2 linked regions of the Danio rerio genome follow. The protein of the gene in region 2 purifies or fractionates together with the protein of the main gene of each other region. This does not show direct contact. Links are inferred from orthologs where the notes say so. Each region holds a gene or a part of one and is shown on either strand. Other genes may lie near its edges.

Region 1 (17,067 bases), on a different chromosome or scaffold from region 2:
AACGAAGGAAGGAAGGCATGAACATAGGAAGATTACTAAATGCACAACGTTTACACATCCCTGCACAAACTGCATGTAAACGAATCAACCTTTCACAGCGTAATACTCACTACTCTTGAGTACTTTTAAAAGGGCTACTTTTTACTCATACTTTGAGTAATCTTTACAACACATACTTAAACTCTACTTGCACTACAATTTTGGGCAAGTAATGGAACTTTTACTTGAGCATGACTTTCAGTACTCTTTCCCCCACAGGTTACCACACTTACAGATGTTGCATTTCTAGACATTAATCCTACATTTAGGAACACAACCCGACAAGTTTCTTGCAAATCTCTTCTCAAGTCTTTTGTTTTGATCCGGTTTTTGGTCACATTTTACATAACCAATTCCATTAACAATTAACCACTAACTAAGATTTTTAGCTCAAGAAACTACTAATTAGCTGTTTAATAATAGGTGGTAAGATAGAGGTTGTGTTTAGGTATTGGGTAGGATTAGGGACCATAATAAGCCGTAAGTAAATGGTTTGAATTGTAACAAACTAAAGTGTTACCAATTTTTAATTCAGTCTAAACCTGCCTTGAACTTCCTCAGCACTTGTAAACAAAGTGATACAAACAATAACAATGCCTTTGATTATACTGTCTCAATTTAAGCATGAGCTCTTATCCTATTTGGTTTCATAAAAAACAACGATTTGAGTTACAGATGACTAGAATCAGTTCCGTCTTTTAGGAGACAATCATCTTTTCATGTGAAGCATATTGAAACTTTGCAGAGGTTTTCCACTCACAAACAGCTAAATTACTACATGAAAGATGATATCAGGACAAGCGTGATATCAGGAGGTGCTCGGTCTTACTGGTTCAATGCATTCTTTAGACAACGGTGGTGATGGGAAAGCAGCAAAGATCAGCACTCCTACATAGAGATACGTCAATCCCACCAGCAGGTACGCCAGTGACAGATCCCGGACCTGTGAGTAAAGCATCAGTTCACATTTAATGCCATACAAGAAAAAAAAAGTAACACATCTCATTTCAAAACAATAACTGTACAAGCTATCATCATCATATCACATATTGTTATTTAATGCTGTGTCAGCAACAACGGCTTTATCCTGGCAAAAGCATTTTATTAATAACAAACAACAAATGAATAGGGCATCACGGTGGCGCAGTGGGTAGCACAATCGCCTCATAGCAAAAAAGTCGCTGGTTTGACCCTCTGCTGGGTCAGTTGGCATTTTTATGTGGAGTTTGCATGTTCTCCCCGAGTTCGCATGGGTTTCCTCCGGTTGCTCCGGTTTCCCTCACAAGTCCAAAGACATGCGGTACAGGTGAATTGGGTATGCTAAAATTGACCATAGTGTATGTCTGTGAATGAGTGTGTATGGATGTTTCCCATGGTTGGGTTGCGGCTGGAAGGACATCCGCTGCTTAAAACACACGCTGGATAAGTTGGCGGTTCATTCCGCTGTGGCGACCCCAGATTAATAAAGGGACTAAGCCAAAAAGAAAATGAATGAGATAAGCCCCTGCTTTTATCCACCACCTGGCAGAAACCTGTTCTCAAAGACTTCTATTCAGTATTTATTTGGGTAGCACACATATTCTAAATGCCTTCGGCAGAATTCAAATGAGCCATTTTAAATTAAATTAATTCCAAGATTACAGTGAAATTAATCTAGATTTTAAAAAAATATCTATGCCCACCATAATATATACATTTAAAGTCAGAATTATTAGCCTCACTTGGAGTTTTCTTTTCTTTTTTAAATATTTCCCAAAGGATGTTTAATAGAGCAAGGGAATTTTCACAGTATGTCTGATCATATTTTTTCTTGTGGAGAAAGTCTTGTTTGTTTTATTTTAGCTAGAATAAAAGCAGTTATTAATTTTTTAAACACCATTTTAAGGACAAAATTATTAGCCCCTTTAAGCTATAATTTTTTTTCGATAGTCTACAAAACAAACCATCGTTATACAATAACTTGCCTAATTACCCTAACCTGCTTAGTTAACCTAATTAACGTAGTTAACCCTTTAAATGTCACTTTAAGCCAGGGGTGTCCAAAGTCGGTCCTGGAGGGCCATGTGTCCTGCTGACTTTAGCTCCAACTTGCTTAAACACACCTGCCTGGAAGTTTCTAGTATACCTAGTAAGAGCCTGATTAGCTTGTTCAGGTGTGTTTGATTAGGGTTGGAGCTAAACTCTCCAGGACACCGGCCCTCCAGGACCGAATGTAAACACCCCTGCTTTAAGCTGTATAGAAGTGTCTTGAAAAACATCGTCAAATATTATTTACTGTCATCATGGCAAAGATAAAATAAATCAGTTATAAGAAATGAGGTATTAAAACTATATTTCTAATAACTGATTTATTTTATCTTTGCCATGATGACAGTAAATAATATTTGACTAGATATTTTTCAAGACACTTCTATACAGCTTAAAGTTACATTTTAAGGCTTAACTAGGTTTATTAGGTTAACTAGGCAGGTCTTTTGGGAAATATTTAAAAAAGAAAAAAAATATTCAAAGGGGGGCTATTAATTCTGACTTCAACTGTATATTTATATTTCAATATCACATGTCAATGCTTCCAGATTTAAAAAGAGCATCCCTACAATGACTGAAGCCACAAAAAACTAGAGGGCATTAAATGGCATAACATATTTTTGGCCGATAAATTTTGGGTGGCTGAAAATTCAGTACATCTCTAATATTAACACCCTTTTAGAATTCCACTGTTGCACATTTCTGCGGTCATTGATAAGCTCTGGACTTTTTACTCTATTTTAGCCATTGTTATAGACATGATATTATATCGCGATTCCATATAACATCGCTTATCAGCCCAGTCCTACGGTATATACAGATTAATGAGTTTAAAGCAATGTGTTTGCTACTTCTGTACTTTTTGTCTCATTAAAAGTGAAATCACTGTCCTTTCAGATAATCCTCTTTTCTTTTTCTTCCATGTGTTTAAAATAAAGGGAATATTTCCGTCGCAGAAACGGAAGGCTCTGCCATCCTCCTTTTGTGTCTGTTCCTGAAAGGTGAATTAACTAAACTAAAAAGTAACTCGCATTACATTTTATAAAAAAATAACTCAGATAATAGTACTTCATTTTAAAAAGTAATGCATTACTTTACTCGTTACTTAATAAGTGATATTATGTAACTCGAGTGATTGTAATGCGTCACCCCCAACACTAACAGCAACACAATGCAAATGAAATAAATAATAAAATAACCTGCTGTAAATAAACTTCTGGGAGAAACAGGACCAGGGAATTCTTAAAAGATTTAGTGAAAATGTTAGCTCAGTGATAAACTACACATAAGAGAGGGGGAGGACATAAGAAAAACAGCCATAGTTTTGCTGACAGCAGGCTTTTTCTGTTCTTCCTGACAACTTGACCACAATGACTCATCTCCATTTTTTCCTTTATAAAAGATGTTTCCTTTTAGCAACTCGAGCTGTTTCAGCATCTCTATAGAAGAAGTCTTAGTTGTTTTTTTATGCACCCAGTCTATAATTTTTGGAATAGTGAACTAAAGACATAGCTAAGAAGAAGAATAAGAGAATAACGCACTGATGGCAACACTCACGTTGTTCTCTTGATGTTTGTTGTTCTTCATGAGGGTGATGATGCAGTTATGAATAAAAAATGCCAACGTGAGAACTCCACTCAGCTGAGGAAACAGTGTTCGGAACTCTAAAGCAAGACAGAGACACAAAGATGACCACGCATTAGATGTCAAACAATAGCATGTGCTTATTCACACTTTCACTTGACTCGCATCAGGGCAGCTACAACTGTTATCAGCCCTTTATTCATTGTCAGATGTGAATCTCTGCAGACCTATTTTATCCTATACCCTCCAAATTTTTAAAAAGGTAGAAACTTATTTTCCTTCCAGAACCACCTGGCATAATCATTCTCCTCTGTGGCACAATGTGAACTTACTTTCTGGTAAACAACCTTTTAATCAACCATCATGGGCCAATAAAGGTATTCTAACACTAAAAGACATAAATGGAGAAAAATCAATTTTAGATTTTCAAGAGCTGGTTAACAAATTTAATATATCTCCCAACACTCTTTTTATATATTTTAAAATAAGGGCAGCACTAAAGGCTCATAAGACACCATGGGGTAAGGATCTTCATACCCACCCGATTGTGAAATGGATATATAATGCTCCAAGAAAAGGAACTGTTTCCTATCTCTACTGCTGTCTTTCTAATATTAATGCACATAGTTTCTCAAAAGAAAGACTATGGCTATCTGATATGTCTCGACCCAATACAACTATCGATTGGGAAACTGTATGGCATAATACATTCCACGCTTCCACAAACCCTAATCACCAGTTTATTCATTTTAAAACTATCCACAGGGCATATTTAACCACACGTATACGACATATCATAGGTTTATCTCCAGATCCATATTGTAAGTTCTGTGAACCACAGCGTCCAGATACCTTTTTACATATGATGTGGGAATGTCCGGAGGTACAAAAACTTTGGGATTCAGTGCTGGACATTTTATTTAAAGTTACAAAAATTTGTTTCCCAAAAGACCCTATACTGTTACTATTGAATGATAACTCTCAATTTCCCTTAAATGCAAAGGTCCGTAAATTTTGGTTGGCTGCTTCAACTGCTACAAAGAAAATGTTGGTACAAAGGTGGAAACCTCCTCATGATCTCTTAGTTAAGCACTGGTTACATTCATTATTGGAAATACTGTATCTGGAACTGTCATCAGCACGGCTCAACAATGCCAAAGTGGACATTCTTACGGCATGGAAAATCTACATATGCAACGTCAAAGAAATCTTGGACACTTAACCCTCATCTGATGCTACGGATGACAACTTAATGGAAACTATCTAACAGCTTGGTCTAAACTATAGTTATTCTGTGTTTCCTGATGTGCGTATAATGGGGTGGGGGGGTGGGGAATATATATGGGGTTATATCTGTTAAAAGTATTTTGTTATCTGATTGTAAAAACTGTATATTCTCACTTTCGGAAATAAAAAAACTGAATTACAAAAAAAAAAAAAAAAAAAAAAATGTGAATCTCTGCAATAGCACTAATAGTTTACACCTCCTCACATACAGCCATAGAGCATCTTTCAGGGTCTTAGAAAATTTAAGCCAATAGTTTTCTGTAAGCAAGTAAGCAAGATTAATCTAAAGCAAAAACACTTGTGGCTACAAGATCCAGCTCATGAAACTCTTGTGAACAAATATTCTTTGTTTATTTATTAAGTTATCTCAGTGACTTTTTTTTTTTTACTAACCACCCATAAGTTGCCAACATTTTATTGTAGCCCAGTTTGAGCTCTTTCCTACGGAACCCCGGAAGGGACGTAGTGGAGGAGAAAAAAAAAATTGGCAGGGTGGAAAAAAAATAATGGGTGAAAGAAAAAATGGGTGGGAGGAAAATATACATTTCTAAGTTGTTGCGTTCTCTCGCAAAGTTTTGCGTTCCCTCGCAAAGTTTTGCGTTCTCTCGCAAATATGTTTTGTGTTCCCTCAAAACTGTTTCACCACAAACACTTCCTGTTCACTTCTCACGCTAACCCTCCCGTTTTTGCCGAAATTCTCCTGTATTTTACCATTCTACCCCACTTTCTTTACATTACTGTGCGTCGATCGTCGCCTTTCATATGCTACCTCTGAACCAGTGAATGCATGTATAAGCGCTGACTGACAAACGCGCTCCATACAATAAACTGATCCCAGATCAGCGTCTGTACGCGCCATTTAAAGGGACACTTCTGTTAACAAGTGAGTTTATTGTACAGAGCGCATCTATCAGTCAGCGCTTATACATGCATTCGCTGGTTCAGAGGTTGCAAAGTGAAAGGCGGCGATCGACACACAGATTTAACGTAAAGAAAGTGGGGTAGAATGGTAAAATATCTGAGAATTATGGCAAAAACGGGAGGGTTTACATGAGTGAAGTAAACAGGAAGCGTTTGTGGAGAAACAGTTTTGTGAGAGAACGCAAAACATCTTTGCGAGGGAACGCAAAACATCTTTGCTAGATAATGCAAAATTTTGCGACGGAACGCAAAACATCTTTGCGAGGGAACGCAAAAACTTAGAAATATACATTTTCCTCCCACCCATTTATTTATTTTTTCACCCAGCCAATTTTTTTCTCCTCCACTACGTCCCTTCCGGGGTTCCGTACTTTACCGCAGTATTAGACTTAAGGTACTTATTTGTTTGATTGAATGCGCGAGTTCGGGAAAGTGATTTCTTCCCTCTTTGGGATGGGACCACGAGGCGACGTTCATTCACAGAATGCAAGTTTCTTGAGGGCACATAAATCTGAAGAAGTGAGAGCAGTTAAGGAGCGAAGCCAGAAGTCGCTTTGTAAGCAAACATCAGAGCTTTGAATTTGATGCGAGCAGCAACTGGCAGCCAGTGCAAACGGATGAGTAGCGGAGTGACATGTGCTCTTTTTTTTCAATTAGGACTGCGATGTAGCAAAAAAAAATTATATATTTTTAATTTATATAATTTTTTCATATCAGTTGATATCAATAATTATTATGATAAATGACAAATATTTATATCTATCAATTTTATCAAATTTTCAGCATGCCTATCGCCTTTTGCAGCTGATTTAAGACATTTAGTGAAATGTTTTAGCTGTCTGACAATATAAATAATAAAATAATAAACAAAAGAAGAATCTTATTTCAGCATTTACTATTGAAGGTTTCAACAACCAAGACAGAAATAAATCAGAGAAAATAAAATAAAACAGGTTTGGAAGAAGTAAACGGTGAGTTAATAGTGACAGAATTTTCAGTTTGGGATGATCTCTCCTTTTAATGGGGAGTATGGTTAATTTAGGGTAAAATATCTTTTAATATGTTTTATTTAGGAATGTTAATGATTACTTGATCTAATAATTGTCAATAACCCTTTAATCGATAGACCTTATCGATGACTGATTTAGCATGGATATTTAAAGGTTTAGCTATGCTTTGCGATGTGAGCCGCGTCCTTGCTTTACATAATCAAGTGTGTGCAGTTCACCTTACTTATGGAGTCACACTCTTGACATCACATATTGCGGGACGCATAAAAAAAACCCTGTTATAAGCAGATCTCCATTGTATCCATGGGTGTTAACCAATTTTATCTCACAGACCTTAGCAGACTCTCATTTTATGAATCGCGCATCACAGCGAGAAATGCATTGAGACTCACCTTTCACTCAACGAGTTTCTGAGTTCTCTCATCCTTCAGACCGAGTTTATTCTTCTGCGGTAACCTAAGAATACTATCAGTGCTGCGAATAGTTTGTAAAGACTGTCCAGCTCATGCTGCTCAAACCGCTCTTCGTTAATGAATTTAATCAAAACCGTGAAAACAGATTAATGGATTGTTTTGGCGCTCAAGCATAAACTATGGCAGACTTGTTTTAAAGCGCTTCACCTCAGATGTTATTCGTCCTTCTTGTTTATGTTGTAGATAGCTGACCAACAGAAATGCATCAGAAGTTACATTCATTCATTCATTTTCTTGTCGGCTTTGTCCCTTTTTTAACCCAGGGTCGCCACAGTTGAATGAACCGCCAACTTATCCAGCAAGTTTTTACGCAGCGGATGCCCTTCCAGCCGCAACCCATCTCTGGGAAACATCCACACACACAGTCATACACTACGGACAATTTAGCCTACCCAATTCACCTGTACCGCATGTCTTTGGACTGTGGGGGAAACCGGAGCACCCGGAGGAAACCCACGCGAACGCAGGGAGAACATGCAAACTCCACACAGAAACGCCAACTTCTTTTGTTTATACATTTCAAAGAAAAATATCTTAATATTAAAAAGGAAACATAAGCTTGACAACAAAAGATCCTATCATTGTCGTAACAAATGCCCTTAAATATTGCAGCCTGTAGTTTACAGCAAGCATCAAGTGTTCATTGAGATCGTGTTGTCTGTCATATCTTTCGTCTGTCTTTTGAGGGGGTTTTCCCATTAGGCACGGCTTTCAAAAATGATGACATGAGACTCTGCTGGGTAGTTGCGCTGGTCTACCAACACTTGTTTGGGTCTGTAATTTTATCAGCATCTTCATAAGGGTGATGCTGTTTTAACTGATGGAAGAGGTTTGTGGGGTTGCCTGCTATGATGACACAAGTCGTCTGCGCAGTTTGCAGTGCATGTTGCTCTGTTTTGTGTCAGATTACACAAAATTAAGTAGCTTCAGGCTACCGAAGTTTAGTGATGTTACTGGTCACTGACAGGTCTGTGACGGTGACCTTTTTACCTTATTTTTTTCTTACCCCTCCAAGTGCAACTAACACTGTATGGCTGTAAACTTGAACAGCGTCCAGCATCTGGATAGGCAAGCTGCAAAATGCCTGAGCATTATTACGCATAGTGCATAAACATTATCGAACATTTTTGAACTGTCATAATCGTTCTATTAAAAAAATATATATTGTGATAATTATCGTTATCGAATTATCGCCCAGCCCTATAAGCAATTCAAAAATATATATAAAATAAATGTCTATATAAAAAAAATAAATATATATATAAAAATGTCAGGACTTCTCCAGGCCCCTAAAACACCCTCAGACCTCAGAGGGTTAATGTGAACAAATTGTCCAGAAATTACATGCTGCAAAAGAGGTGAGAGTTGAAACCTTTGGTCTTGTTTTCAGCTGGTATTTCCAAGCATTAAAACACGTCTCATGTGACCACTTGTTTTTCATTGGGAGTCACTGATTTCAAAGAGATCCTCTTATTTCGTCCACATCACTTTTGTGGAAGCACTGAATGAACAAATCCATGGTACACAGCTTAAACTCCATGTGAGCCTGAAGTTGCTCAGACTTATTTCAGCATGTTGATGTACTTTCAGCTGAAATGGAACATTGAGTAGGAGGCTTTTTTCGCCTCGGTTTAAAAGCTGCTGTATGTAAGTTTTTGACTCTTCTAAAGCATAATTTTTTTTATATTTAAGAAACAATTCTAAGTGAACATTCTTGTTTATGTGAAAAACAATGCTGAAGTCAGATATTCTGAAAAATGACTCTCAATAGCAGGTGTAAATGGTATAAAACTTTACACTCTGTAGAATTAACTGCATTGTCATTTGACATGATTTAAAAATAATAATAATAATTTATTAAACTTTACTTTTTTATATAAAAACATACAGCATTAAAATGTGCATAATTTTACACTCAAGAAGATGCATGCTTTGGTAAATAAGTTTACCTGGAACAAAAAACATTGATGAATCAAACCAGTGAAACTCCAGGTGAAAGCCCAATTGAATGGCTTTATATGTGACCAGAAAAATGAGATAGATCACTGATATTGTGCCTGTGAAGAACAAACAAAAAAAAAAGTTCATTAAAACCGCTGGCAAGTCAAACCCAATTGGCAGGACTGTTTTAACAAAAACATTTGTTCGACATTCAAATGCATATAAATGCTTGAGAGCAAAGATAGAAATAAATGGAAATTATAAAACCAAATTTAGAAAGGCACAGTCATTGAGTACTCTCAAGAAAATTCCAAAGGGAAGACCAAACACACAAGAACACTATCAAGACACAGTTCCACTGTACAATTCAGAAGGTATACCTTTGGGTACAAAGCAAAAGTCTTTCCAATAGTTTTTTTTAATCATTTTGTGAATCTCCTTCCAGTAAACTTGATTGTCACAATCCCAAAATACATGAGTCACTAGCCCCTTTCACACATACAGACCTTTCCGGAAAATTGCCGGCAATTTTCCGGAAATGTTGTGTGTGAACGGGCCTTTTTTGAAAATACCGGTAAATTCGTTCTGGCTATTTTCCGGAAAGAGAAGTTGTAACATTACCGGCAATTTGCCGGAATGCTGCGCTGTGTGAATGCAGAAGGAAGATTGCCATAATAAGCGCGTGCACGTCTAGAACGTGCTGACGTGAGACGTCTGCTTTAGCCAATCACAACAGTCAGACGCATTTACGTCCGCACGGTTTATGAGAATAAAAGCCTTTGAATATTTTTCCAGACACATTTAGCTGCTAGAAGTTAGTCAGATCACGTTTATATGTTCTTCTTAATGCCAACTGTGTAAATAATCATCGATGAGATGCTTATGATAAGTCGCTGTTTGTTTACCTTCAAGCTTTGCGTGTGCCTGTGGAACAGCCTGTGAGCGCCTGCACACGCACATATTATGAACATCTCGACATGCGAAAGTGATCCTGCGAAAGTTGTTCACAATATTGATCATCCACAGAGTTTGTAATTTAGTCAAATGTTTACAAATACAAGCGCAGCCGTTTAAAGCTCATTTGTGGTGAATGATGTCAGAATTTACCGGTATTTTGGAATGGATGTGTGAATGCTCTTTTCCGGAAAATTTCTGTAACGTCCTCGCCTGTGTGAACAGTGCTTTTTTGAATATACCAGTAAAGTCGTTCCGGAAATTTTCCAGAAATTTACCGGTATCACTGTGTGAAAGGGGCTACTGAGACTATGTCTACCTTACCTTTGAAACATAACAGAACAGTTGGGAAATATTCTATGGAGGCGAACTGGAGTTAGATAAATCATGTGACTACATTTATAATTTTGTTTCTGAACCGAAATTGAAGTACTTTTGGGATAGATATTTGAGCAGGCAGATAGCCACTCCTCATCACTAAAAATAGACCCCAAATCCTTTTTTCATATTACCCTTAAAGAATCAAAAGGTTGAATGACCACGATTTGACACTCATGCATCTACAGTTGAAGCCAGAAGTTTACATACACTCTAAAAAAAAAAAAAAAGGAACATAACAATTTTTTTAATAATGTCTGATGGTGAATGATACTAAACATTTACTATTTTAGGATTACCTAAATGATTTACATTTGCTAAATGCCAGAATAATTAGAGATTTTTTTTTTTTTTTGAGAATTTTTGTATTAATTTCTAGAAAGTCAAAAGTTTACATTCATTTCCTTGGTATTTTTTATTTTTATTTTTTTTTTATCTTTGCTTTTAGACTGTATAACTTTGGTCAAATGTTTTTGGTATCCTTCCAAAAGCTTCTCACAATAGTTTGAAGGAATTTTGGCCCATTCCTCCTGACAGAATTGGTGTAACGGAGTTCAGGGCTTTGTGATGGCCACTCCTAAACATTCACTCCGTTGCCCTTAAAGCACATTTTAACTAATTTGGCAGTATGCTTAGGGTCATGGTCTGCTTGGAAGACCCATTTGTGGCCAAGTTTTAATTTCTTTGCTGATGTCTTGAGATGTTGCTTCAGTATTTCTACATAATGTTCTTTCTTCATGATGCCATCTATGCTGTGAAGTGGATCAGTCCCTCCTGCAGCTAAACAGCCCCACAACATGATGCTGCCATCCCATAGTCTACAGTTGGGATGGTGTTCCCAGGCCTCTAAGCTTTCCCCTTTGTCCTCCAAATGTAACACTGGTCATTATGGCCAAACAGTTCAATCTTAGTTCCATCAGACCACAGGACATGTGTCCAAAAATTATTCTTTTTCCAGTGTAATTTAGCGAATTGTATTCTGGCTTGTTGATTTTCTCATGTTGTCACGGGAAGCAGTGTGTTTGAGGTTTAATTAACTCATAAGTTGTCAATTAGCCAATCGGAAACTTCCAAAACTTTAACATCATCATCTGAGCTTTTTCAGAGGCAGAGTAATCTTATTGTATGTAAACTTGACTTTCAAAATAAGTTAAAACAATTTCTCAAAAAAAATCTCGCTCTTATTATTCTGCTATTACGGATAACAGAAACAAATGTGATAATCCTAACTTACCTAAAAGAGAAAAAGTTTAGTCACATTAACATCTGACTTAAAAAAAAAAATGGTTATTTGCCTTTTTATACAGTTCATGCAAACTTCCTATGAAGCAATCATTTGAAATGCATTTTCTAATAAAAAATTTTGTCATCTTGCTTTACTAAAAATATGTACCTTTTTGATTTCAATTCAAAAAGAAATATCAGTACTCTAGGGGGAAAATGAAGGTCATACCCAAGAAAGTGAACCTGGCGAAGAAGGAAGCGGAGCGGAAATTGAGCAGCGGCAGCAGCAGGAGGATGAGGTAAAACGGGATGGTGTTGGTTTTACTCCACCAATGATCAAACTCAAGACCTGTGCTGTTATCACTTCCAGAGTACAGGGAGGTGCTGCTGTTCCCATGTGGATCCACATCTGGATACGGACATATGACTAGTGCCGGAGAACACAGAAACACGTGTACATGTTAATTGTATTCAAATAAGCACATTTAAGGCCCTGTTTCCACATTGTGTTGGATAATTTACTGAAAAATCTAAATTTACTCACTAACTTCCAGTGACCTTTATGAGTTTACTCATATATTACTATGAGTAAAATACTATGGCGGCCAATGGGTACAGGTTTCAAACACTTTTTAAAATAACAGTTTGTGTTCAACAGAAGACAGAAACTCAAATAAATTTGTGACAAGTGAAGGGTGGGTAATTGATGGAAAAGATTTCCAGTTTTGGGTTATTTATCAATTTAATATGCATTTTTAGTGATCCAACCACTAGTAGTGGTCAACAAAGACACATTGTAAAAAGATCAAAGTCACTGTTACTGTAAAAATAAAAGCTTTTTACTTGGTTTTAACCAAGCTGGTCTTCATTTGGTCAAACAAGACATCAGAGAGGTTAAAGGGCTTAGGACTATTCAATTGGCGGCCCGCGGGGCGAACCAGGCCCCAATTTGTTCCGGCCCTCCAAACAGTGTGTCCAAGACATCAAAAATAAATTTATTTCAGTCGAAATACAGCCGCTACAGTTATGAAGTGACGTGCGTCTGTTCAATACAGCACAAGCTCCAGTTGAAAACATAGGGATCCAACAATTAGCCGATTTTATTATTAACTGCGCTTTAATTCGTCACAGTTAATTAATCGTAAAGTCTTCTCTAAGGGCCTACTCGCACTATGCCATCTGTACTGTGCCCAGGCCAGTTTCCCAGATCGTTTGAGAAGTGTGAGTGCGCTGAATCGGGCTCAGGCATGGTTCACTTGGCCGGCCCTGGCCCGGTTGGAAGAGGTGGGCCTGAGCGCGGTTCACTTGGGCCAAAGCCCGAAACTGAAAGCGAGACGTGACTTTTAAGAGGCTGTTTCATATGGATTTATGAAACATTCTTACTGTTCAGTGAACACAAACTGCCGTAGATTATTAAAGACGCAAACTCCTCACTGCACGACAGCTGCGCGCCTTCAGCAGACCTCCTCCTGCAGCACGAGAGCATTATGATTATGAGTGCCAAAAGTGGCGGATCTATTCGGCGAAATATCTGACTGCATGTGACCGCATCCCTAAGGACTGTTTGGCGAAATATTTGACTGCATGTCACTGCATAACAAACCACTGAAATTATTTAACTAGAGAAATCTCCACTGTGCTGCTGACTGAGAGCGCTTCTCACTGAACAGCGCAGTAGCGGGACAAGCATGCTTTGGCCCGGTTCGAGGCAACTGTACGTAGTGTGAGTATGGCCTAAGCCACTTTTCTGTTGCAGGGTAAAAAACTGCTGCAATTAAACAAAAGTTATGCCAAGTTGCCAACTGGTGCGCTAGTTTGAAGTTCCAATAACAATGAGGCTAATACACACGCACACCGGATTAACTATAGCAGTGGCCGTTCCCATATCACGTCTTTTCTGCTTGGAAGTGTGTTATTTCTAAAATAATGTATGCGTGATCAAGCAGAGCAATGCGCTTGCATCTTTCCGGGTGCACGCAGTAGAAAACATCTCATGGTGAGAGTTGTGCGTGCCTTTCAGTGCAATGTAAACAAAAGATATATTTGACGAATTATTATTAAAATGATATGCATGAACGCAGATGGCAACAACAGTTAATCTAAATAGCTACTTACCCAATATAAAACTTGAATTTACATTATACGTGATAACCATGAAACCATAATTATTCTTCAGAATATATAATTGTACAACCAAATCTATAATTGTTGCATCCCTAATTGTTATGCAGTTCAAAAAAATAAAATATGAATGTGTCTGAATGTAGAAGAAGCCTATGATGCGCTGATTTAGTTGTGCTCTGAAATACAACATTAGAATGTTTGTAAAAAAAAAAAAAAAAAAAAGGAAAAAAAAAAGTCTATTGTACAATGCACTGATATTATGTAGTTTCAAAATACAACATACAACATATTAACGTTTCAATGTAGAAAAATACAATATGGGTGTCTTAAGGAAAAATACAGCATATGGGCTCTTATATGCTGTTGTGTTATCACTCATATAGCAAGTCATATCTCTCCGGCCCTTCGTTTGGGATGCTTTTCATGAACCGGCGCCCATGAAAAACCAATTGAATAGCCCTGAGTGTGTCTGAAATCGCATACTTCCATATTAAAATACATTAAAAACTATGCACATTAAAAGAATATGCAAGCTGAGTAGTATGTCGAAATATATAGTTTTCAAAAAAACTGTTTGTGAGAAGTACCCGGATGACCTACTACTTCCGGTTAGATTCTGAAGTATGCATCTAATGGATGCTACGCTACTCCAGTTTCATCATTTCACCAACATCACACCTGAAACCATTAATTAACCTAATCAATTAATCAACCAATAAAATGCTAAATAAAACATAATATATAAATATATAATAAATATAAAAATTTCAAATCTAATTTCTAATTTAAACCTTTTGATGACAGTAAAGTATAAATGTAAAACGCTTCCCTTTGAAATCGAAGTATCAATATCAACACCTCTTCTAGTTCTAGTCTTGTGCTTTAACACACTCAATACCAATATAATGCGGAGTCAATATATTATGTTTAACAGCATTGAAGGAAGCAGCAATGGGATTTCTTTGGCAATTGAGCAGTGTTATTTGGGTGTTCTGCAATACAAGTTTTTAGACAATGCTTTGTTTTACCTATGTTGTATGTGCAAAGCCACAGGGGCATTTAAACAAAAAATTACATTTTGGTGTTAAGAAAAATAATACTTTATTTTTTCCCTAAGCAAAGATGTCTGAAAGTCTGACATTTTATTGTAAATTACATTACAGGCGTTGACGGTATCTATACTTACCCTCAGAATTTCGTTGAGTCCCTGCTATGTTTAATCGTATGTGCATGTGTTTTTAAGGCCTGTGACTGAGCATTTCAACAGAGTATAAAACATTTGAGCACAAAAAACTATAATGTGATAAAACTAAGATTAATAGCATTTTATTATTTAAACAGAATTTATCAAATTTATTAAGAAAAAAATTCATATTTTAGTCTTGTTCCCAGTCCAAATATTTACATTTCAAAATGAGAACAAAATATTTTACTTGCCCCATTCCTTAAAATAAGCTAAATGATCTCATTTAGCTTATTTTAAGGGAATAAAAACTCTTAATTTTGACTTATTTCTTCTGAAAGTGAAAACAAACTAATATTTTTACTTGATTCAAGAATTTGAGCTATTTAGACTAGAAACGAGACGATGCAAAGAAAAGCATTTTTTTGCATTTTGATTATTTAACCCTAAAGAGTTTAATTGGTGCCACTCTAATTTTCAGTTCTTTCATAGATAACAGGAAATCACCAAATTGCTTTAATAAGTTTTGTTTTTTATTTGACCGTGCACAGCAGCTTTATAACAGAACCCTAAAATGTATTTAGTATAATAAAACAGTGCAGCTTCTTGTCCACGTGATCATGAACAGAAGAACTGAAAACAGTAAATAGTGTCATAATAAAAGCTTCACTGCTTTCGTTCTGCGTCACGCTCATCTGTTAGCTCCAATTCCTTCAGCACTCTTGTTTCAATTTAATTTATCATCTACTTTATACTACCATGACAGTCTGAAAGATACAGTAAGTTTTCAATACTTCAGCATATCCATGAACACGACTTCTGCAGGACTTCAAATGGACTTAATAAAGATGGCAACTCCCATGATTTCACCAATGGTTCTTTTGGCTATAATTTGTATAATTTATGAAATATTCTGTCATATTTTTCTTTAATTGAGATACACTGTATACTATTAATATTTGTTTCTGTCTTTTCGTTTTACAGCATAAAGCCTGGTTTATACTTCTGCGTCAAGTGACCGGCGTGACCCACGGCGCATACAACGCGCGTAGCTGAGCGTTTATACTTCTGCGCGCTGTCTCTGTTGGTCTACATTAACACTTCCGAAACACTAGTTGGCAGTGAGGTGTAAATGTTCCTCTGTGTCGAGTTTCTTCTCTGATGTTTTGCTTTTCTTGAACACTTCCTGGATGCACAAGTGGCTCAAACTCGCTCATTTTGAGGCAGGAAGCGGCGGACGTGCAACAACTTTAACTATGATATAAACACAAAACAAAACTTTCCATCCGGAGCTCCTTCACGGAACTCCACACTTGTAAACAATTTCTCCATCAGGGTCGCGCCATTCGCGCGACTCTCGGTCCCGCCCAGACTCATCAGCGCTACCAAGCCGACCAATCACAGAGCTTACACTACGCCTCGTTGCGATGTGTAATTACACTTTTTGAAAGGTGCACGTCAGCGACGCCAACGGCCACGGCGTAGGGCTATGCATTAACGCCGTAGCATACACGTGCTCTTGATGCAGAAGTATAAATCAGCCTCAAGTCAGAGCAATTAATAAATCAAGCCATTTGGATTGTGTTGAGTATCTTTGACCATGTAATGTAAATGATTATGCTTACAACTTCAGACTATTTTATACTAATAATGATAATAATAATAATGACTGCTCACCTCTCTCAGTTCCATTTGTGCCAAATGCATCTGATGTGTTGACATTGTGAACATAGTCTGTAAATGCAAAATATATAAAAGGTTATTCAGAAAAACAATTAAAAGGTTATTCAGAAAAACAATATTAGAATTCTAATTGGCAGTAAAACAAATGAGAAAGGGCAGGAAAAACAGTCACGTACTGAAAATGAATTTTCCCGTATTGAACAGGAAGTTAGACATGAGCACCCAGTAGACCACCATT
Region 2 (17,625 bases):
TATTTACTAGTGTAAATGGGTGTAAATATATATTTATTCAGTTTTTATATTCATTTCAGCAGTATGATTGAAAAATATGCAAATGTTTAAATGTTTTGTCTATAATAGAGTTTGTAAAGTACGATTTTCTGTCTTTTAGCAGCTATATTATACTGTTAGGACTTGCGTTTACCAAACAAGCGGATCTAATTGTATTTGCATTGTAAACATTAAATAAAAGCTAAAAAGTGATTGGTTTTGTATTTGATGGTTTAGGTTTTTAGTTACTATGCTCCCAAAATCATTCTGCAGATTTTTGCTAAACTTGTGCGCAGAAATTCTTGGCAGATTCTGTCTGGCTCTGCCTTTAAAATATTCCGACTGGCATTTTTGCAGAAAATAAGCTCTGCAGCCAATAAAAGGGGGGGCTGTGGTGTCTTAAAAAGTATTAAAAGTTGTTAAATCAATGTAGAGAAATTTAAGCCCCTTAAAAAGTATTTTGCAAGGTATTAAATTTTATATCATTTTTGATTACGTCATGTATTGTTGTTTGCCTTAATTAAATCTGCGAACATCAGTATGCTGTTTGGTTTATAAAATCAATGTAATCCTACTAGATTTGACATCATGCTGCTTTATTTACTGCAGTAACCAAGGCAACACTATTATTCTGCATTGCATATTATGAATTAGCTAGATTTAATAGATTTTTATTCAGTATATGAATAATGTTTTAATTTTGGAGTAGTTTTATACATTAATATTTAGTAAATATACAGTTAAAATCTCGCCAGTGTTTCCGGTTGAAAAGTGTTTATAAGGTCTTAAAATGTATGGAAAGTGTCTTAAAAAGGTTTCACTCTCTGATTCTGGTATATACATACTCTCAAAAACTGTTTATGATTCTTATATAGTTTGTTCATTAAGATAATCTGAATCATATCTGTAATTAATTTTGTAGCCTATAGGCAATCACCAGAAGTCAAGTTTAAATCATATACTAATATAATATGATGTCACAATGACTGTTTCCTGTCAGTCTTTATTTAAAGCACATTTTAAATTCTTTGTGTGTGATTACGTGAGTAAATACAACAAAGTGGAAATTGGAGTACTTTTCCTGTTCAGTATGATGGCGTATGATGTCCTACTTGTTGCCAGTCCTATTTATAATAAATATGTCATATGTGTTATTATTACTTATGTCGTAATATAAAGCTTTTCCGTTTTAAGCACAGTTTCAGGTGTTTAACCATAAACACATCTGATTCTGGGTCAACAGAAGTGCTAAATTTTGAAGCATGATCTACAAAAATGTCGTCCCAGTAGAATGCTGGACATCACCAAAGTAAAAATTATAAATTCTCTTTCATTCATTTTCCTTTGGCTTAGTCCCTTTATTCATCAGAGGTTGCCGCAGCGGAATGAAACGCCAACTTATCCAGCATGTTTTACACAGCAGATGTGGTTCCAGCTGCAACCCAGTACGGGAAAACATCCTTACACATTCACAATTCACCTATAGTGCATGTCTTTGGACTGTAGGGGAAGCACCCGGAGGAAACCCACACCAACAGGGGAGAACATGCAAACTCCACACAGAAATGGCAACTGACCCAGCTGGCGCTCAAACCAGTGACCTTCTTGCTGTGAGGCGACAGTGCTAACCACAGAGCCACTGTCACCCCAGTTAAATTCTCCAAAAATTTTTATTTTTTTTTTCGTGTTGTTTGGGAGCAAAGAAAAAAGTGCACAATGTCATTAAATACACTTTATTTTTTGTAAACGAACACTTAAGACAAATTTATTAATTAGGATGACACAAAAATGAGCAGGTTACATTCATAAAATACATACAGCATCAGGAGCATCCACAACAACAGCCAGCCAACAATACATATGTACAGATGTGTTTGCATGAACTCGAGCACCAGGACCTCAGATTGGAAAGTGGCTCTCTTATCATTCAGGTGGTCTGAGATGAACAGCTGCTAAGCCACTTCCACCACCTGCCTAAGTTCTTCAATCAGAGGAACCAGCTCCTTCTCCAGACTGAAGATCAATCCTACAGAAGAAAAACAAAGAGGAAAACATATCATTCAACTGATATTAATAGTTCCAAGCCCAACATTGAATAACTGTCATTCAGTCTTTTAAAGGTCTGGTGAAATGAAAATAAACTTTATTAGATATTAGTTTCAGTCTGTTAGTTTTAAGGAAACGCGTTTAGAAGATATAAATCTGATAGAAACATCCAAAGCTTTGCAGTTTGCAATTCCTAAAAGGTTTGTTTTTTTCCATGCCACCACCTCATAGTCAGTTTGTCATCAAATCTTGACCAATCAAATGCTCTCTAGTATCTGACATGCCCCTCCTACTTCAAGATGCTTCTCATTTAATGCATTTGAGCTCAATCCCTCTCACTGGCAAAGCTAACAATAGTTTTTTTTTTTTTAAACGAATCACTATTGGCAGTTTTTTCTTTTAAAAGGGGAGAAACTACTTTATGTCCCACTCTCTTCATTTTTCAGTTGAGATCATGTCAAACATCAAATAAAAATGCACATTTCAAAGCACTTCACGGGACCCTTACATGTACTTTATTCACATCTTAGGCAGACGGATTGCAGGCATGGACTCCAGAGATTTCATTTAATGCTCAAGCATAGGTCTCAAACCCAATTCCTGGAGGGCCGCAGCTTTGCTCAAACCCTAATCAAACACAGCTGATCCAACTAATCAAGATGTTTAAGACTGGCTGTTTCTCATTATCAAGTACACAAAGTTCAGACTTGCTAAGTTCAGACTAGAAGAACGAACTCCTGAGGCCACAAGTCGGGCACTTCTTCAAATGGAACGGCAGTGTACTTTATCACGACACTTGCCTCACCGTGGAGTCATCGATTTCACTGTGCATTAGCAAAAACAATTATTCAATTATATAAAGCACGACCCTATAATTAATATATTAATATTACAAATCTACATTTTTGATTTAAGAAAATGTAAACATAAATTCATATAACTGTGAAGTAAAAGGAGTTATTAGACACGTGTATTTGATTATTAGATTTGATAAACTACAATGGTAATTATACAAGTCTATACATAAGAAATAAAGACATACACAACAAGAAATAAGGATTATGGTCGAACAATTTGGTAAACAAAGACAAACAGCGTACAACACGGTAACATAATTAAAGACCATTATAAAAGGTAACAAAATAATACTGCCAAAATAATACACCTGATAACAAATAATAGATTTTAAAGACCAAATACTGTCCACTAGATATACACAAGATGTATTAAATATCATGTTTTAACTACAATGGATTGATGAGATCCAGCGGTACATCCCAGATGGACTGGCCAAAGTAAGGCTGCTCTTGGCGGGGGAGGTGATGGCGGAGCTCCTGCTGGCAGGCTGGGAGTCGAAGTCTGCATAAGCTGAGGCACATCGTCAAAGATGCGCTATCTTTGTGAATAAACTGCTGATTCGAGTGTAAAACAACTACACTCGCCTGAAAAACTGTTAAAACTTTATTTTGTGACACATTAAAGGAGTACTTTTAAAACTGTGTGGGTTTTCTCCTCCTGGGTTTTCTCTCTTCCATTCTGGAATACTTGAGCTTCGCAAGTTCGCATAAGTCACCTCTCGATGCATCCTTGGCAAGGGTTGATGACGTTTCACGAGGACACAAGACCGCAAATACAGACAAGAACGCATATTAAGAAGCAGCCCTAGACTCTACTAGATCAGCTGTGTTTGATTAAGATTGGAGTAAAACTGTGCAGAGCTGCGGCCCTCCAGGAATTGAGTTTGAGACCCATGTGCTAAAGCAAAAATATTTCTTTATTTTATTTAAAGATTAAATCATTGTTACCTATTTAGTAACACCTTATTATGAAAGCAACATAATTACACTTAATTAAATACATTTATCCCAAATCCACAACACTTAATTAAAATTGAAGCATTTCCAATGACTTCCAGCATCCGTAAGAACCCTGGTTACTGTAATGTACACAGAACATCCATCAAACAGTGCAGGTCAGAAATGGCAGATTCATAAACATTTTATGTTTTAATACATTATTGTTAGTTAATTGGTTTTAATGATCTACACCAGTGTTTAAATTATCTGATTACCGGGGGTCTGCTTTTTTTCTGTTTTGATAATAGCCTACACATGCATGCCTCAGTGAACCAAATTCATATATTTCAATGACATCTCGTTTATTAATAAAAATTACTTTCTGTGTTTTTAATGAGTAATAAATAGACTTTTGCATACAGTAAACCTGTGATGGGCTATTTCAACAAACAACTATTAACAACATGTTTTTGGTATAAAACAGGTATTTTGCTGAACCGGGATAACTTTATTCCAGCTCCAATAAATATATGATAATAAAAGATTGCACATACAGTTTACTGTGCAACTTCCATCTAGTTTAATTTGACTTATCTATTAGGCTACATGTAGACAGAATATAGATAGAATTTACAAGAAACAGCATATTTTGAAGATTTACTGTGGGCTAGATTTGTTTTTTTCTGATTAGAAGTTATTATTAACATATAGGATAAGTTAATATTAATATTAACTTATTATTATTATTATTATTCCAGATACAGATACGTGAAAACTACTTCCCAGACCCCACACACATCTAGTTTTGATATCCTTTAGGAAGTTTAAGCATTAATTAGGAGGGTCAAACCCCCTCTTTAATTTACACCACACTAGCGGGTAAATCAAATACGGCTAAGCAGTGACAACTTCTTTAATTTTGATCTCTAAAGTAAAAATGGCTCATTGTGACAGAGAAATACTCACCCGTGTTAGCGTTACTACTTGCGATGAAACTTATCACTAAGGGTAATCGGTTGAACTGTACAATCTGCCAATGATAAACAGCATACGTTAATATAAGAAATTCTGAGTAACTAGCAGATCAAATGTGTCTTATGTCAAAGAAAGCACCTGATATGTGTTGTAGTAACAAATGATGCTCTTATTTTTGGACAAGCCCAGCTTGCTGCCCTGGTCGGTTGCCAAAGCAAAGGTGGACAAGAAGGCCGGCCGCAGCGCATATTCAGGAGCATTGTCATTAGCCACTAGAGTGGACACAAGCAACATTTCAGAGCTTTACTACATAGATATACTACACATATTATTTTAACATACATATATAGAACATAAAAAGTAGACTTTATTTTAAGTAGATGCTTGAGCTTTCCTTTCATCAAAGAATTCTAAAAGTGACATTTAACATAGCTTCCACAAAACAATGAAGTGGGGAAACTGATAATATTGATAAGATGACTTATTAATAATGATTGATTAGCAATAATAACTGATCATAACAGATTGATTTCTGAAGAACCATGTGACACTGCAGACTAGGGCTGTACAATATATCAGCATCAACATTGCAAATTGATCATTCGCAATAGTCACATGACAAATATAGGCAATGTTGAGTTTGGATTAAAATTCATTATTTGCATGTTTTTGATGCATGGAATTGTATAATGAGCTAAAAAAAAAAAAAATAATAATAATAATTGTATAATGACCTTAAACACATTCAGGCGTAAGAAGTTTAAGTACCATTTGTAACTTTGATAATGGTTAATTTTATAGAACTACTTTTATATTTATTATTCAGTTACCAAACTGAATTTTTTACTAAATTGATTTTATAATTAAAAATTCATATCGCTGCTTAGGTTCTTTTTATCGTTCTATTAATTGTTTTTCATTTAAAGTAAGAATAAAATTGATCTCTCAATTAATTTTTCCTATTATTGATTATGCTGATATTATTTATGACATTACCTCTGATGTTAATTTAAAACCTTTAAATACTGCTTCAATTCTTTGTGTCAATTTGTTTTAAGATGTCCTTATAGAGCCCAACATTCAATATTATACGAAACACTTGGTTTGCTTCAACCTAAGTTCTGCAGACAGTATCATTGGTATTTGTTTCTTTTTAAATGTGTTTATTTTAGTTTCCCCTCTTTATTTAAAGCAGCTTTTTGTTCCATTTACCTCATCATATTCGCTTCGTCATATGCAACAGAATTATTTTTTTGTTCCCAGAATTTCTACAGAAAGTGGCCGTAGGTCCTTTCGATACAAAGCTCCTTCCGACTGGAACGATCTCCCTTCTTTTTTTTGGATCAATTAAATCACTTAGTCTTTTCGAGCTAATTTATTTTCTTTTTTGGAAACAACTTGCGAATGTTATTAATATTGACTCCAAATTAAATGTTTATTATTTATTTGTATATCAAATTGTTAGTACTTTTGATTATATGTTTTTGTTTATTTAGGCTTAAGATTGTGGGAAGTGTTTCAGGCGGAGTGTGCTGCTTGTTTGATTGTTAGTTTGTCTTGTTAAGTGTATGTACGTTATGATGTGTTGTACTCTTTGATTTATGAACTTTTTAGGGACCCCCTCGAAAATGAGATGATTCATCTCAAGGGGCTATCCCTTTCAATAAATTCAATTCTTAAACGGAAATACTGAAACAATCAAACACTTTTTCAGTTGTATCTTTTTCTTGATTGCAATTATAGATTGTTGTGCATGAAAATACTCACAACACATGCAAATACAGAAGTGAATTGCAACTAGCACAAACCACATGGAAAATGTGTCGGGGGACCCAAAAAGTATATAGATTGTTCATTCGATTTTATTGAGATACAAATAGTTAACATTAATTCATCAATCGCTGATTAAACATGTGCATGAAAATACTCACAACACATGCAAATACAGAAATGCTCTGCAAATAGCACAGACCACATGAAAAATGTGTAAGGGGCCCCAAAACGTTTATAGATTATTGTATTTTATGGAGATACACTCCCATTGCAGAATCATCCCAATCGATCTAATATTATAAAATCTTTCCAAATAGAGATATTCAAGTAATCTGGTGAAACTGTATTCAAATCGCAAAATAAAAAATTATCGCAATGCTTGATTTTTCTAATATCGTGCAGCCCAACTGAAGACTAAAGAAAGTAATGATACTCACAATTTAACTTTGATTCAAAGGAATAAACTTTTTTTTTGTTGTTGCTACATTCATGTTTTAATTAAATGAAGTAAAGGAAATCTTACTGTTTTTATACATTTGACCAGTAGTATGCACAAAAATGTAAAAATCTGAGATCTGGTTTTCACCTTTGATTACAGGGACCCCATCTCTATCTGTCACCACAATTGCATGAAGTCCTTCAACACTGATGACAGATTAAAAATAAAGAAATCAGCATTCATTACATCTGGCAATGAATGAAATAAAATGTGTCTAAAATACAAAAAGAATGTCTTTACCTTGGTAGTTGTTTATACAAATAGCTTCTGAGATTCTGCAAGAATCAAGTCAAAACACATTATTAGACTCATGAGAAATTCACTACCAGAAAATTAATTTACAAATATACTCACATCTGCCATATTCATTGGACTGATTATGTACGTCGCCTGCAGCACACTCTAGGGAAAAAGTTGAAAAGTAAAGGACATGGCATGAAAATAATTGAGGTAAAGTTGGTTTTATATTCGCACATTCTTCTTAATGGTATAACTTCAGAAAAGTGTTGTTTCCAAATTCTAAATAGTGAAATCATATTAGCAGCCTATGACTATCAAAGTACAACATTGTTCACAGTCAAATAAATAGTGCTAATGTTGTTTTCAAGTCTACCAAAGTCCCTTTAAGGCATACTGTATTATATGTGTTCTATAGTCTTTGGTCATACTTGCACGTGATTTCAGATTGAATATTCAAAGTACCATGGTAAACAACATAGGAAATTGAGGTAAACTTGGTTTTATATTTGCATATTCGTTCAGTGATAACTTGATTTTGTCCCATATATTGTTTACCATGGTACTTTAAAACATTGGGTCTGAAAAATATGTGTAAGAATGACTTCAAAATAACATTACCACTATTTATTTGACTAAAAACAATCGTGTAGTCTGATGTTGACTGCTAATATGATTTCACTACTTAGTATTTGCAAAGAATACGTTTCAGAAATTATTTTATTAAGGAGAATGTCGAAATGTGTGAAAATAAAACCAACTTTACCCTAATTGAAAATTAACCATGGTTTTACTACAAATAAAAGCAAACACCATGGTAACTTTAGTTAATCCAAGGTAAACACGAATTAAGCATGCAACAGTAATAAAGCTATAGTTAACGTATAAAAATTGGTAATCAATACGTAGATAAACCATAATTCCTACACGTTTACTATAGTAAAACCATGGTTAATTTTCGTAGAAGATTATACGACATTACAACAGCATTTTACCAGCATCTTTGGCAACATGTTTAACGTTACTTACTAACTGCAGACATGTCTAATCCAGAAACTGTTATAAACCCAGAAAGCATCTATTAAAGTCATAATACACAAAAGGCAACAGACTTACCATCAACTGAACTCAACGCTTTATAAAAGTTCTTCTCTTGCGTTTCTGTGCGAGCATCACATGACAAAATACATACGCTTTTCCGTGTACGTCATATCCGTTAAAATGTCACGATCAAATTAACGAGAATTATTGTATTTTTCATAATTTTACCTATTTAATTTTATTTTACTTAACGTCTGCCCTCACAGTAACGTAAAAACGATTATTATTGTTGAAGTGTCGCAAAACGTATGCTGTGATATATTGATGTGCGCATGCGTATCTGCAGCTGCTTTTTAATTCATGCAACAAATATGAAAAACATAATAGAGTAATAAAAGTACAACAACACAGTAGGTAAAACATAATAAAATAGACAAACTATTACAAATAATGCTAGGCCTTGCTAATTTAAATGTGTCAACAGATATAACAGCTTTTTTGTTTGTACTCTCCTAATGGTATTTAAATAAATATCTAGTTCTTTAAGTAGCCTACCATTGAGAAAAGTATGGAGGACGAAACCTGCAAAAACAATAAATAAATAAATGAATAAATACGCAAATTATAAATAAATGAGTAAATGAATCCATAAATTCTCGCTTAAATAAAACATTAAATAAATAAATATGCAAATAAAGAAATAAATGTATATAAACAATCCACAAATTCCTGCTAAAATAAATATTTAAATAATTAATAGTGTGGGCAGGTAAATAACTAAAAAAATTACACGAGGGGAATAAGAAAATGCTAAATTAAAAGTTTATTTTTCCTCTCTTTCAAACGTTAATTAAAATAAACTTTTTCTTATTCCCCTCGTGTAACTTATTTAGTTATTTACCTGCCCGCACTATTAATTATGTATAGACTTGTTTATGCAGAAATTTGTGGATTTTTACACACATTTATTTATTTATTATTTTATTTATGCAGGGATTTATGGATTTATTTACTCATTTATTTATTTATTTGGGTATTTATTTAATTACTGTTTTTGCAGGTTTCGTCCTCCATAGAAAAAATTATCAAATTTTTGACTGCTATGCCATTATAAATTGTGAAAAGGATCAATAGAAAAGGCTTTAAGACAAATTAAATGTTTAATTATTCAAGTAGCCAAATTTTGACAGGGAAGTTGAATGAGCTAGCCAGTTTGTTATTTGCCTATATGCCATTTTTTTAAACCAGTTTTACCAGATTTTTATTTTTAATGATGGATAATAAATTTGATAATAAGTTTTTTTCATATTCACTTTTTAATGATAATCACATAACAATATTTAAATTGTATATAAATTGAAAACATTTTTGGTGCATCAAAAATAGTGTGGTTATGATCACCATCCAACAAGCTTATGGAGCAAAGATTAGTTCTTAAATGACGACAATAACTGCAAAAAGGTCCACTTTTTCAGAAAAAAAGAACCACTCTTATTTACAATAGGCTGGCTACAGGCCTGGATATTTATTAGGTAACGCTCCTCTAATCAATATTTTAAATAAACTTAGACCAATAGAAAATAACATTTACTAACCAATTCTAGCTGTACACCTTTAGACTGGTTGTTGCTTGATCAGATACATTTGCGGCCCGAAGTTAACAAGAATTATATTAAATATTTTTAAATTCCCCCTTAGTTGTATTTTATTGATGTCTACCCCCACCCCAACTCTAAATCAAACCAGTCACAATAATGAAAAAAAAAACAGGTGTACAGAATGTTGTTTGCTATTTATTAAATTAACAAATAAATTGTATTTTTTAAAGTCTACCCAACCCTAAATCCAACCGTCACAGTACTATAAAAATGTTATTGTCATACAGCATTACACAAAAATTATGCTACAGTGATGTATCTAATCTAGACTTTATCTTCTAGAAGAGGGGTGCCCAAACTTTTTCCTATGATGAGGGCCAAAAACCAAACTTGATTGAATGCTGCGGTCTAGAAGTAAATATTACAAACTGTAATTTTAAGGTTGCTATGGGTAATTTCCTAATTCATTTACATAAACGAAAAATGCATTGCTTTATATAAACTAATGCAGTATCATTTAAAAGAGAGAGAGAGAGAGAGAGAGAGAGAGAGAGAGAGAGAGAGAGAGAGAGAGAGAGAGAGAGAGAGAGAGAGAGAGAGAGAGAGAGAGAGAGATGGGCCAAATCAAAGCTTACCATGGGGCTAGTTTGGACATCTCTAGACTTTACCCAAGCAGTGCACGCAAACAGCGCTATCTAGTGGTGGTTACATAGGCTGCTGTTCATGATAACTAAAGTATTTTGTGGTTTTTATGTTTGTAGATGAGTGGAGTGGGTTATACAGCACCTAATATGTCTTCTTTTTTATCTGTGTTAATGTTTTGGTTTAATGTGCTACCTTTTTTACCATTTAACTACAGCAGATGATGATTTAACTTTAACTTAACTCACTGTAAATGGCTCTAGCTATCTATCATCTGTTAGGTAGAAAAGACAGTAAAGATGTTTCTTATTGGAAACACTGAAAAAAAATACATATATACAGGCACTTTTTATTATTTAAACATCCAATATATACATAAATGAATGTCTATATACATACAGAATGAATGCACAAACATATTTACACAAACTTGTATGTTGGATGGCATTCCTTGCGAGAAACTGATTTGACGGACTGGTAATTTCCTAGTTTATGTTTTCATAACGCTGGGGCACATGTTAGTCAAGGCGCAGCATACAGTCACAATCTTGTCCAGGAATGTCATGTCCTCCCCTTCACATGGGACTGCCATGCTGACAGGAACAATCCCATTCAGCATGATGTACTTTGTGCGCACACATCCAGTCACTCTATCTACATGCACCCCAAGGTGAGCTATTTGTTGTTTTTCCACTGCATCTTTAGCGTCCAGAAGTCTGCGTCCTCCGGTGATTTTCAATTCGGCACACATGAGTCCACCACTGTCTCCGATTTCAAATCCATGATCTGCGAGCACCAAGTCACCAGGTAAAAGCTGATCAAGAAGGCCACTATTCTCTGTCACATGCTTGTCGCTGACACAACCTTCCCACCCTTTAGAAATGAAAGATATGGATCCTCGTGGCGTAATGCCAAAGAGATATTTCATTGTTTGATGGTGTTTGCAGTGGGAAAATGTGTGAGCGCTAGATTTGAAACTTGATCCTTTCTGTGTGCAAATTTCAAAGCTGTCCACAATAACTGGCACACAACTGCCAAAAGCCTCAACAAACTGATGTGGCATGGTGGCTTGCAGGTAATGTCTTTCTGGCCAGTGAACGAGAGATTTAAGTTGTTGGAACATAGTGCCAAGAGTATCTTTGAACGTGTTGGACACCGTATCTTGATCCACACAAAAGAGGTATGCGATGTGCTGAACTGGCAGATTGAGTTTGAGGCGCATCAGTGTTAAAAGGAGCATCTGAAAAGGTGAGAGTTTGTGGCCAGTCTGTGGCAGGTGGGGAAGAAGCTGTGTCAGCACACCCATCAGAATCACAAAACACGGTAGCCCAGTGTAGTACTTGACCTTCGCATTGTCCTCTTTAAACGAATCCTCTCCCATGTTTTTTTTAGCAAGCTCTTTCCTCAGTTTTCGGTTTTCCTTTAACAGGTGGTCAATTTCATCACGCATAGAGCTGCAAAAATGGCACTCCTGCTGTCCGGCATTGTCATCATTTGACCCTTCGTCTCTCGTCTGACTTTCATCTGCTATTTCAGCTTTGTCCTGGCCAGCTACAAGTATTGTTGGAGGTGGAGCGCCATCACCAATGATAGCTTCTTCACCCTCTTTACATGGGTTAAACTGCACACATTCAGTTTTGTTTTCTGTGGCCCCAAGATGCAATGATGGATCAAACTTTACTATTTTACAAGGCGGTTTGCCTAAAATAAAAGAACAAATACATTTACTAAGATAGTTATGAAAAATCTCCATTTACATAGCAATTGATAAGTTTTCTTAGGAGTCTAACATTATTCAGGTACAGAAATTATATAATCAAATGTAAAAAAACATAAAATGTCTTCATTTTGTAAATAACCCAGGAAAAATGTATCTTTATTAAGTCAAAAAGGTTTAATTTAAGCAGGCCCGGCGCTACGGGGGGCATTGCCCCCTCAGAAAGAATGTGTGCCCCCCAGTTTTCATAAAGGATTATTGTCAAGACTGAAAATTCTTTTAGGGTGCTTTCACATCTGTGAATCGATTCAGTTGTTCCGAAACAGGGATTACAATTGTTACATTGTTGCTCTTTGCTCTTGGAGCGGTTCGCTTTCACATTGCAAAGTTTCTAATCGGACCAAAAGAGCTAAAACAAGTCATGAGCGAGTAAACTCTCCTCACATTGGTCATAGTGTCAGGATTTGTTTTGCAGCGTCCCGCTCAGCTGTCAGGAGAGGTGGTGGTTTGGTGGTGATTGACAAGGTGCACGCGACATGTCTGAGGAGAGATGTGGTGGGGAGGGGTGAGAAGGGTGCGCGACGATGCCTATTTGAGGACCGGGAGGGAGACGCGCGATTACCGGGAGATTATCACTCGTTTGCGGGCATCCGGAGCAGGGTTCAAAGCAAAGGATTTTTTTTTACAGGTCTGATCGGACCAGTGGTTCAGATTTTTACTTGCCCTGCCAATATTTTCACTGGCCCCACCCAAAAAAAATAAAAATACTAGCTATTTCTTAGCCACAAATAAAAAAAAAAGTGTCAATGTTTGTAAATATAGATTTAATATATTTTAAAAAATGTTAATGCATGTATAATGAGCAAAATTCAAAGTGTTTTGCAAACAAAAGTAGCAAAATGTGCAGGTATTTTATTGCAAAACAAAAGATGACTGACCTGCCAAACTGACGCCAAACTGTACAAAACATCTCTTAATTTTTTTAGTCGAGGTGTAAATGTTTGCAAGATGTTAGAAACAAATGTTTTCTTTTACCATCATCTCTTGATGTTGCCACCATGTTGCTGTCTCTTCGCTAAACTGGTTGTTATGGAAAAAAATAACGTGCTCACAACATCCAATCAGATAAGAGGTACTGAGAAGGTAGCATTTGAAGGCTTAAAAACATTTCTCGATTCTGACTGTATTTGCACGCAATTGACAAATAGTCACAGGCAAGTTAAACTTTAGTGACAGGGCATCAGTGGCCCGATCGGGCAAGTAACGATCCTGTCTACTGTCCCGAGCATCTTACAAGCTGGCCCCGGGCCATCGGGCAGTCCTTAATGTTGAGCCCTGCGGAGACTTGCGAAACTTCCTGCCCTACTCATAATTCTCTCTTCATATAGCCGTATGCCTATTACATATCCATAAAACACAGTGATATAATCGCGCTCGGATCGGATCGCTTTCTTACTGCAATCTCGAAGCGATCTCGGAGCGATTACTTTGGCGCGGAACAGAACGCGATTGCCCTGTTCACATATGCCAAACGAACCGCGCTAACTGGGCTAACGAGACAGGTTCTGAAACAAAAGTGTAGGTGTGAAAGCACCCTTAGTCATTAATTACTAACACTCCCGTCATTCCAATCTTTAGAACACACATTTAGATATTGTATAATATGAAATAGCAAATAAATTATAAAAATGGTGAGATTAAATCTAGACATGTAGTCCAGAAATCTGTTCCCCGCGTCAGGCCAGGTGCACCCGTATATAGCCTTTAAAACGCGCACGGGGAGGCGCACTTAACTCACACAGAAAAAACTGGACTAATGACATGAGGCCATAGCAGCCTAATTCATTACATGTTTTGGTAAACTAATTCTTTAAATACAACTCTCTTATGCTCCAAAGGGAAAAAAAACGCAGAAGAAATTTGCCGTTAAATTAATTTGAGCAAAAACGCAACTGCCAGCTCATCAAAATAGTTTTTCAGTTATGTAGGATATTAAAATTTAAAAAAAATTCACTGCACAATCCCACAGTAGTCTAGACTATAATTATAATTTAAATTTATTATATTCATTCATTATTATTATAAAATTGACAAAACGCAGTACCCTTTTGAATGTTTGCTTTCATTTTGACATGCTAAAGCACACTTTTACAGTTTTGTAAAGAAACATCCCATTATGCAGCAGCAGTCAAGTTCAATGCAAATGCCTTTTGCATTTAAATGATCGGCCTGCGAAGTCAAGTTTACAGTGTTATAAATGGAATAAGTGCGTAAGTGGATTTGCCGCGGATCCATCTCTCACATGTGCTGCAGGTAGGCTAAATGATAATCTTTTAAAAATATGTAATTTAGGTTATTTCTATTTGCTCATGCACAATAGCACCATAAAACATATTGTAGACCTGTATTAAGAGCTAAAATACAGTTAGCATATCGAGTTTGTTTTGACTTGAAGCTCATGGCCCTACAAAATGAAAATAACCTGAAAACAAGTTATTAAAATAGGTTTAATAAATAAATATAATGACAGGTATAGGCCTAGTAACCTAGTGGTTTATGATGTCGTTTTTACAAATGCCAACCGGACAATATCACGGAAAAAAAACCTCAGTTATAGCCTAAGATAAATCTTTTATTTTTTTTACCTTTAAAATTATGAAAAAATTATATAGCATATTGTGTTGCGTGTTATCCCCAAAAAAATTACCAATTTTCACGGTAATAACTGTGAATTTCGTTATTTCTTTTATGTATTTTTCTGGCTACACTAACGCGTAAAATGTAACTAAATCATTTTTAAAGACTGTAACATTCAGTTTTTTCCTAACACTGATTTTATTTGCGTAATGAAACCTGATGACTCGGTTACTTCACTATATGCCGGTTATACGAATAGTCTGACCGTGGGTTAGCTTGCATGTGTGGGCATCTTTACCTAAAACTTTAAACATTTATAGGCCTATTATTTGAAATAAAACTGAAAGAAATAAGGAGAATAAAATATGATTTAAAGCACTCGTTTGGCCCTGAAGCCATGATCTGCGGTACAGTATTGTTGCATAACGTTCAATAACAAAATCTGTAATAGCGAAACTGTGCATATTATTATTACTATAAAAAGTATATTATTATTTAATTGCTTAAAGTCCGTAACTCAGGCAGTAATGCAAAGTAACAATAAATGTGAATAAAAAGCCTAAACGAAAGGAACAAGAGGGACCAAAAGGTCTAGTGCCCCCCTATGGGATTAAAATGCCCCCTCAGTTATGGCATCCTGGCGCCGGGCCTGAATTTAAGTTAATTAATGGTTTAATTTAAATTATTGCACCCATTTGTTTTAAACCAGGGGTGCCCAAACTTTTTCTTATGTAGGGCCAAAAACCAAATATCATTGAGAGCCGTGGACCAAAGGGAAATATACCAAACTATATTACATTAAAGTTGCCCCCGGTAATTTTTTATTGTTTTCATAATATTTCAAAATTTAAAATAAATTAAAAACATTACTTTAAACTGTATAAATGAATGCATTATAGCTTTTTAAATCACATATTGCAATACAAACATAAACAATCACATTTATAACACTGGAGTTCAATGCTGAATACACTAGTCAAGCAGAACCTGCCTTTGACTTGATTTGCCTGCCAAAGTCTCTGCATTGTCAGGTGACAGTTCATACATTTAAACAAAATCTGATTCATTTACACCATTTAAATTCAGTTAGCTTTGAACAATAAAACAAAAAAAGAAAGGGTTAGATTAAATTTGAATTGACAATCCCTCTTTTCTTAGATGCGGGTCCAAGTTTGGGCATCTTTGCTTTAAACACTCTTGAAATGCTCACACAGAACCATGCATATTAAACATTTTTATTACAATATGTTTAAACTCAAACGTTAACAATTTTATAGGAACTTTAAGCAGTATTATCAATTAAATATATTCAAGTGCACAGGTATTTGTTAAAGAAGTTGCCATTACTTTAACAAAACTTTTTTACAAAACCTTATGTATCCTGCATACATAATCAGTACTATTCCCAAGTTATAGGACAGATGGATATAACAGGGCCTTGAAATGTGATTGAAATGATGTTGTATGTGCATGTCAAATGTGACAATTTAGGGCGTATTCACTTTGATGTCAAATTTGTGGAGAAAAAAAAATCTAAACTATTTTGAAATGGGGTACTCTTACCCATTTCAGTGACCATAGCATCCCCTTCTGTAGTGGTCTCATCTGCTGATGGCTCCACCTCAACTGTAATATCGACTGAAACGCCTTGTTGATCATACCCAAATCTATGAATGTGAAAGAGCATGCTTAGTAGATAATTGCAATTAATGTGATTGTAATTTGTCATGTGTCATTTATTCAGTTTTATTAGTGCATTTTTACTAATTGTTTTTTTTTTGGTTTAAATGGGAAAATACCTCCCGTCTTCTGCATCGTTTTGTTTTCGTATACGTCTTGCAGGTGTGTCGTCACTTGGTTCATATAGCAGAGGATCAGGAGTGGCTGGTGTCGGTCGGCCATCAACAAAGTGCTGGAGTTAATTTATAGAAAAATAGTCTAAGGTAATCTATATTACACTTCAAGTACCTAAAGTACATTTATACAGAGCAGAAATGTGAGGCAAAACTGGCATTGTGTGTGCGTGTTACCTTTGAACACACATAGATGTGTTTGGCTTTGGAATGAATCCTCAGCTTGTCCATATTCAGTTGACGGTTAGGCCCTCCACATAAACGTAACCATTTCAAACACTTCTGCAGGTTTCGGCAGGGTTTGGGGAATGGATAAAATTTTATATTGATCACCCTTTCTGGGTACCGTTCATCTGTTTTGCAGTCCCCATACGAGCACCTTTTCACCATTTTTCTCAATCACTGATGTTACTCTAACTTACCCAGCGTTTGTCAATCTTCCACTTAGGTTTTTTTTTGTTTTGTTAGGTTTGGTTTGGTTTTGCTGGTTTGGGTTTTTCGCTTGTCGGACTAAATGGCGGAACATCACGAGGGCACAGAAATTCTGCATTATGATTGGTCAGATTGCCTGTCGATCAATCTACCAACGAATGGTTGATTCCAATACCCGGATGTAAACAACAGCATGGATAACACTAAACACTAACTACTAAATACTACGTTGCCTTTTTTGACGAGAAGTTTCGACTGTCGTCGACGAATAAACGTTTAGAGCAGCTAATTTCCTATAAATCCTTGACAGCATTTCTAAAATACTGGAGAGGGGAGGAGAAACACTGTTCAACAGCAAAAG

The links.
Region 1: the proteins of lamtor3 (region 2) and slc38a9 purify together in Homo sapiens (affinity purification with mass spectrometry; 3 studies listed by BioGRID and IntAct, with this or other methods). This does not show direct contact. The link is inferred for Danio rerio from reciprocal best matches to the Homo sapiens genes LAMTOR3 and SLC38A9.

Annotation. Positions count from the first base shown.
Region 1 is NC_133185.1:7,428,452-7,445,518, reverse strand, and holds part of slc38a9 (neutral amino acid transporter 9), read right to left. Parts: coding exon 17,006-17,067; intron 16,881-17,005; coding exon 16,824-16,880; intron 12,267-16,823; coding exon 12,069-12,266; intron 9,400-12,068; coding exon 9,292-9,399; intron 3,732-9,291; coding exon 3,625-3,731; intron 983-3,624; coding exon 869-982; intron 1-868.
Region 2 is NC_133188.1:12,897,376-12,915,000, forward strand, and holds lamtor3 (ragulator complex protein LAMTOR3), read right to left. Parts: upstream 8,534-17,625; 5' UTR 8,461-8,533; intron 7,510-8,460; exon of another isoform or gene 7,508-7,509; 5' UTR 7,471-7,507; coding exon 7,462-7,470; intron 7,383-7,461; coding exon 7,348-7,382; intron 7,254-7,347; coding exon 7,195-7,253; intron 5,108-7,194; coding exon 4,974-5,107; intron 4,891-4,973; coding exon 4,827-4,890; exon of another isoform or gene 3,813-4,826; intron 2,665-3,812; exon of another isoform or gene 2,437-2,664; intron 2,045-2,436; coding exon 1,971-2,044; 3' UTR 1,736-1,970; downstream 1-1,735. Other genes in the region: si:dkey-20i10.7 (uncharacterized protein), read right to left, coding at 11,116-12,326, 16,543-16,646, 16,779-16,891, 17,010-17,063. UniProt on the Homo sapiens protein: As part of the Ragulator complex it is involved in amino acid sensing and activation of mTORC1, a signaling complex promoting cell growth in response to growth factors, energy levels, and amino acids.